Linked DNA regions of Styela clava. The protein of the gene in region 1 purifies or fractionates together with the protein of each later gene. This does not show direct contact. Links are inferred from orthologs where the notes say so. Each region holds a gene or a part of one and is shown on either strand. Other genes may lie near its edges.

The links.
Region 2: the proteins of replication protein A 14 kDa subunit-like (region 1) and E3 ubiquitin-protein ligase rfwd3.L-like purify together in Homo sapiens (affinity purification with mass spectrometry; 5 studies listed by BioGRID and IntAct, with this or other methods). This does not show direct contact. The link is inferred for Styela clava from reciprocal best matches to the Homo sapiens genes RPA3 and RFWD3.

Annotation. Positions count from the first base shown.
Region 1 is NC_135261.1:16,322,596-16,326,355, reverse strand, and holds the start of replication protein A 14 kDa subunit-like, read right to left. Parts: upstream 2,697-3,760; 5' UTR 2,543-2,696; coding exon 2,438-2,542; intron 1,247-2,437; coding exon 1,172-1,246; intron 536-1,171; coding exon 430-535; intron 66-429; coding exon 1-65. UniProt on the Homo sapiens protein: As part of the heterotrimeric replication protein A complex (RPA/RP-A), binds and stabilizes single-stranded DNA intermediates that form during DNA replication or upon DNA stress.
Region 2 is NC_135262.1:4,159,139-4,162,898, reverse strand, and holds the start of E3 ubiquitin-protein ligase rfwd3.L-like, read left to right. Parts: upstream 1-901; 5' UTR 902-943; coding exon 944-1,040; intron 1,041-1,747; coding exon 1,748-1,885; intron 1,886-2,767; coding exon 2,768-2,878; intron 2,879-3,509; coding exon 3,510-3,714; intron 3,715-3,760. UniProt on the Homo sapiens protein: E3 ubiquitin-protein ligase required for the repair of DNA interstrand cross-links (ICL) in response to DNA damage. Plays a key role in RPA-mediated DNA damage signaling and repair.

The DNA of each region.
Region 1 (3,760 bases):
TTTCTGCCCATAGTACTGTGGGAAATCATGAATTAGTTTCACACAAGTGTTGTAGAGTTCCATGTCTGTAAGAAAACAGTTGATTGAAGCTATAGGATTATGCTATAAAAAAACAGAAAATGATATTTTTGATTCAGAAGTTCGCCCACCCATTTTTTAAATTAGTGTTCGAAACGTTTCAAAAAATATTTTCACATAGCACCCCAATCTGGATATCAAGATTTTCTTGGGGCCAAGTTCTTGTGTGGGTAACAATCTGGAACAATTACAACAATGTAATAAATTGGACAAATTGGTTTTGGACAAATCGCATACTATTTTTATATGTTTATGCTCGTCAAGATTTTATTTTGGCAAAAATAATTATTTCAAATTTTAGGCTCCGAAACAACATTAGAACATGTTGGTACTCTCTGAATATCAACTTACTAAATTTTCCTTCAGAGTCAAACACGCGATACATCACCCCATGTACGTTACACTTGCTGTCAACTTTTCCAGTGACTTCAACGACACCTTCAATAATATCAGCCAGCTGTATAATAGTAAGAGAATATCGATAATGACTTGTCAGTTAGTTTTGCCAAAATTTTGGAATTGAAAATGCAATTTTAAAAACATAGAATAGATACATTTGTGAAACTGAATTTCAAGTAATTGTAAATAAAATAGATGAAACTAATCGTTGATTTTCGACAATTAGCGTTAATTAAATCTACAATTAGTTAGTAAAGAACTCTGTGTAAAATGCTCGATTAGTTTTATCTTTGGGACATATCTCAAGAAACAAGTAACATACATAATATTAACCAGATGTGCCAAAATTTTTAATTGTTGAGTTTGCTTAAAAAAAACAGCTTATAAACGGATATCATTGTTGGAGTAACTTCAAAAGAAGTCACTGAGCCTAAACACTTTAACTGATACACTATAAATACTTATGCTTTACCTTAATCAAAACATTATGTTTGCAAATATATCTAAATCTAATTTTAGTGATACAGCATTTTAGTGTCACAAATATTGAAAAAGGGGAATATTATTGTTTTGCTATTTTCATATGATCACAATATTATTTCCCTGACTTCTAGATGGGGGTGCATAAAGTAGTTCTCGATTTCAAAGTGTGTGAAAAGGAAAACCAGTGATATGATTGGTCAATACTTCTTACCGGTGAATCTAAGACAACTTGAATATTTTCTCCTGCACCATCTTTCAATACAAATGAATTTCCATCTGGGGATATCTGAAATAAATAAACCACATAAGAGTAAATGTATTCATATTTTACATCGTTTCGACCATTGAACTCGACAGTATTTATAATACAAACTATTTAGCCCAATAATTAAGAGTTAATTGCTAAATTGTATTATATCCAGAAATCAGAAAATTTTATAATAGTGGTTGTTCGTAACGGATGATACCCAATAGCAGAATAAGGAATTACACAAAAAAACAAAGGTTTCTGGGTTTTGATAATCTTGCTATGCCATTGGCAAAGAATAATTCAAAAATTGCGGAGCAGAAGTTTAGGACTTCAAACCATGCTATCTGGAGGTCTGCTATTTCAGCACGGTAATATACTAGATCAGACTGTTACAGTGTTAGGAACCAATGAAAATTACTAGTAGGCTATGTCAGAGTAACAACACCCTAATCAAAACCCAGAAACCAGTGAATACATGCAGCTATAAAATTAGGTTAAAATTGTGGAAATGTGTTTACATGCTGTGGTATTGATATTGTCTGATTTTAGTTTTTACAGTATTTGTTGAGTGCATCACTTTACAGATTTAAGCCTACTTCTGTATTTCATGAATTAGAGAAATAAATGAAAATCCAGAATTTCTTTACGGTAATTCTAGAGCAGTGTCTTTCAACCGGGGTGCCGCGGCACACCGGTGTGCCGTTAAATATTGTCAGGGGTGCCGTGGGAATTTCTCCAAGTTGTGTGTCTGTGCGGTGTAGCGTCCGGCAGAGTAATCGTGTGGTACTGTTCTATATCAGACCGTGGCAGCATCTGGTGGCGATTTTTTTTGTCTTTGTTTTTATTTGATTACTATTCAAGATGTCCAATTCAACATCTTTCTTCAATGTTAAAAATCTTATATTTACAATATAACACTTATATTGTGAATATTACGGGTAGGTATTTTCGCCATATTTTCAGCTGGTGGTGTGCCGCGGGATTTTCTCACCGAAAAAAGTGTGCCTTGGCTCGAAAAAGGTTGAAAAACACTGTTCTAGAGGATTCAGTCAACATTTCTACATCCATCCAGTGTGAAATTCTTAAATTATACAACTCAAAACATATCTTGGTATTTCAGTAGGCCTATTTGAAAAAAAAATACTGAATTACATTAATTATATCATCAGTACCGGTACCGGTATTGATATACAGAAATACACAAAGGTACTGTCAGACTGTAGTTACCTTTCCAGCATCGACAGTCCCAACTACAGTGACATATTTTTCTGTGTATTTTGGTAGCAATGATGCATTCAGACGTGGCCTAGGTCCGGCAAATGCTTCTTCCATATCTGATCGTGGACAGATAATTTATTCTTGTCTCACTCACTGCAGCACTGGTAAAAACTAAATATGGTAGCCTCTGTATGTACCGGTAAATCCTATGAATTTGTGAACAGCCCTTCTAGTTGTATCGAAGTTAAAATTAGAGCTAGTACAGTAGTACCGGTACCGTAAAAGCGCCTAACTTCGGACAAAATTACTATATTTTCGTCAATAACTTGGCCATTTATTGTCCAAAAGGTGCCAAAATTACTCGGTAAAACATTCGTGCGGTAATTTACATTCCTTGCAAATTTCGGTTCAATTGGACTATTTTTACTATTGAAATAATCGATATTTCTTGCCATCTGACCGTTATCCTTCACTGCCCTAACTTCGGACAGTCATTTTCTTCACTGCGTAACCGCGACGCACAGAGAGAAAGAGGCTTCCGATGCGGATGGCGTAATCACGTCGTTGCGTGAAGATAAGACGCTCGATCGTCGTCGTAACGTAACATTGATGTCACGACGAAAATGCATTATTTGAAACTTCCGTCGTCCTATGTTTACATCTTTCGTTCGTTATTTTCGATACTTCAGATGAGTATAATAACACGTTAGTCATTTTAATCAGGAAATGCATACGTAAATATATCTGATGCAAATCGTTTCAATCCGCAATGAAGTATTTTAACGGGCTTCTATCGAAGTCTTTGAAGTATTAATATTCTCGACGGATAGTTTTTTTTTATCGTGCGCGGTTATCTTTATAAATGATAATTTATATCAAACACACGGTAAATTCGATTGTAAAGTTTAATTTAAAATTCAACTTAATCTTGTAAACATGTAGGTCCCGTTTATTTGTTGGAGATAAATTTATTTTTAATTTCGAGTGAATAAAATTCAGCCAGGCAGTATTCAATAACTGTCATTTCGACTACTAATCATAAAATAATGGTTAAGTCAGTGCACTGTGCCATATGGACGTTGGAATTATCATAGTTTTGTATGTCCGATTTTAACGTCATCGATTAAGTGTGACATGTATTTTTATTAATGTAATTTTGGCATATATTCATACATGACCGAACAAAATACAAAAATATTACATTGGAACGCCGTCTTTATCTTAACGGAAATTGTCATATTGGCTCCGTTGTGTCTGGCGTCAAAATTCATTTCCGTGACGCAGTGTGACGTCGTGTCGGAAGTGAGCGAAAAATAATCTACGTGAGGTTGA
Region 2 (3,760 bases), on another chromosome or scaffold:
CGTATTTATTCTTGAATGATTTAACTTTGCTTACCTGGTTATTTAATGGGCGTTGAGTAATTTGTTATTCTGATATCTATGTTGGATATTAGAAATTGAAATCGTCTCATGTTTCGTTGCAAATTTTTGATTCAACTATAATGTAGTAGCCCTATTCTATTAGTAATGAGTATTTTAGTCATAAAACTGGCTTTAATAATTTTTTTTCATCTAAATTCTAATATTGTTCAAATTATAACTTCCTTCTACACTGGGAGGATTCTTAATTCATGACGAGAGACATTTTCTGGGTAAAAAGTGACAGATTGATTTAAGAAGCTGACACTCTCAATGATAGAAGTCCGAAAAGACTTTCCATTAATTCCAACCTTAAAAATTCACTCAATCTCAATGTTTTAATCTTCTCAATTGAACAAATTTGGTTGGCGGAAATCAGTATGTCCTCACATAGAAGCTGACCCCCTAAAAATGGCCCCAAAACAGTGAATTTATATAAATTCTCATATAGACTGACCCTACAAATCGCAACACGCCGTACACACCTATCGCAGCAAATGGTTGCATGAGAGAATTGATGAAAAACATAATGCTCCCATAAGCAGAATTTTTAGTGCCCATATAATTTGGCCCCTTAGTTTGGCACTTTTTTCTTATAGTTTTAAATTCAACTTATATATGAAGATATATGGTATGTTGAATTAGTTCTTGAATCTCAGCCGCCTTTTTTCCCAGTCTCTTTCAGTGCGTGATAAAGCCTGTCTTTCATTCATCCATGTTCGTTGCATACATATCTATGAGAAAGGATTATCATGTTTTGTGTTTTCTTTTCTTGTGTATAAATAGTTTTTCTTCTAGTGCCAATGGTAACCACTCTGCTTTTTTTTTGTCAAGGCAGTAAAAATGAAAATAATATAGTTTCAAAAAACGATAAATATTTTGAAGTATGTCAGACTATGATACTTCTGATGATTGGATAGACTGGAATCCCAATGGAATTCCATCGACCGATGATGAAACAGATAATGAAGATATTCAATCAGGTGAATATTTTTGATCAGGGTTTTTCAAACCGGGCCCTTTCGGGGGCTACGTAGCGTTTCTTGGTATGAAAAAGTGTGTAGTAACCAACGAAATTTGGAAGTTTTGAATGTTTTCGATTGTGATTTTTTTTTTCAAACTGGGCCTTTGAGGGCAGGGTTTATCATCATATTGGTAAAAGCTGAAAATGCTGACTCGCATATGTGTGTCGTTGTAGAAGCTATTAAAATTTTAATTCCCTTTTTTGTTAGCAATGGCTATTCGTCCTCAATGATTAACCAATATGATGCAATGGCTTTTTGATTGAAATCAATCATTGATCAGACTCTTTTCATATCGTTGCGGACCCTTGTGCTGTCATCACCTACCCCCAGAGGTCCGCGGACCCAAGTTTGGGGAACCCTGCTCTAGGGGGCTACGTAGCAGTTCTTGGTGTGAAAATTGTATAGTTACCAACAATATTTAAAAGTTTTGAACCATTGCTGACTGTTGAAAATAAAGTCTGATATTTTAATCAGTTTTGAGAATTATTTTTTTTTTCTATACTCAGAGGAGTTTTTTGCCGAAATTCATGATATGAGCTATAATAACATATTAACATAAGGCATGGTTTATTGTTTTATCCAGATTTGTCTCATGTAATTTTTTCGTTTTGGTTTCATTATTTAAAAATTCTTATTTCAACTATTTTTTTTATTTTCACTTCCAGAAACCAGTGACACAGATTCTAATGTAATGTTGCTAAACCACGAAAGGCACTTACAACGCAGAAATGCCCTCCCAAATATTCAAGACTCAAGTGAGATTGATACTTTGGATCAAAATGAAGAAAATGTCATTTCATCAGGTAGTTGAATTGTCCGAATTTTATGTGTATTAGAATTTTCCAATAATTTATATATATTGTTAGTTGGGTTGCGCGAGACTAACTTCCTATCCTTCCTCTGTGCCTTTATGGTAGTGGATCATATGCGATAATGCAATGATGCTGTAGCAGGAATAAATAGGAGTATACAATGCAATTCAAAAGTCCTGCTGCACACTAACACAAATATAATTCTGTAACGTTTCTTCTGACCAAAACCATGTTAGTGTGCAGCAGGAATTTTGAATTGCATGCAATTATACAATATAGTCGGGCTGAAATGAAAATTTCATCAAATGAGGGGCCTAGCAGATGTTTCATTATACTATTATACTAAGTCCTAGAAAAACTGTCACTTTATTAAATCATCCGTCATGAGTTCACAAGTTTGAGCCTCACACGGATGATTTTTACTAATGGATTGCTGGAATTCTTACTTTCCAGTGATTTCCAAATGACGGCCCATTGCGGCTTGCGCGACGATTCAATATGACCTGCCGAACGTAGGTCAATTAGTTTACCAATTTATATATTTTTTTTTTTGCGTTCTAGATACCGCCATTCGTTATGTCATTATCATAGTTTAAAAATTTGTATATTTGTCACAATTCAATTATACCAGTATCTTGATTATACATACCGTATCGGCCCCTTGCAGGGGATCCACATTCCTGGCCCGTGAATATCCTTCAGATGCTAATTTTGGCCCCCGGATAATCAACTTTGGGAAAAAATGTATTAAAACATCTCTGTATTACTTTGACGAATAAATATAAAAATTTGAGACAGTTACAGATGGGAAACCTTACCCGATTATCATAAAACCCACTTTCAGTAAACTCACGCATTTCCGCTTGCTTATAGGTGAAGAAACTGATCACGAAGAAGAAGAAGAAAATAATGGTGAAGAAGATTTATTATCAATTGCAAGTAATGGGTATAGATCAGCAGACAGTCAGCTAATTGGACAGACAGGTATTCTTCAAGTTACAATAGCTGGAGTGTGTTCTCCGAGTTTAGAATACCAGTGTACTAATTGCAACACAAAAAATTCATTTTTTTACTGCTAGGGGGGTAGTATTGTTGTTGTCAGATGTCAGATGAAAATGCGCTCACATAGGCAAAAATCCATATTTTTTTTTGCGTTTGTCGCTGCGGTAAATCTTTCACCGTTTTTATTACTGTAAGGCTATCTAGGCAAAAGCCGTATTCTCTACTCTTGCTGACTGATGTACGGTACATTTGAACGGTCAGTTTGGCTGATGCTAAAAACCTATGCAAGAACTCGTGTTATGCAATTCAATGTGTAGATGGAAAAACTACTGTAATTTCTTTGTGGGGCCCAGCTAAATGTCTGAAGTTGATTAAATGGCCCACCGAGCTAAAAAATATGCTCGAGGAATTTGTTGAGATTGCGATTAAATTTAGTTTTGAGACGAAATTTTGTTTTCTACTTTTGCTTTTATAACACTGCAAATATTATTCATAAAATGTAAATTTTTACGGCCACACTTACATGGCCCGCCAGTCTTTTGGTCTCTGGTCCAAACACCTTGCCCAATCCTGATCTAGCTGAAACTTTACCAAAGCATTTTGATCATTTCAGCCCTACCAGAAACAACAACAACCTCAAGACCTCTGACCCCCGTGCCATCCACATCAACAAAACGTAAGCAATCATCACCTCGACCTAATCCGAGCCCAAAGAAAACGAAAGAATCGTCGTTATCTCAAGAAGAAGACGGAGATTGTTGTCCAATTTGTTTCGAACATTGGTCAAACAGTGGAAAACACAGACTGTCATCACTGAAGTAAGTGACATTTTTATTTATAAAAGAAATGAACCATATTTTTACT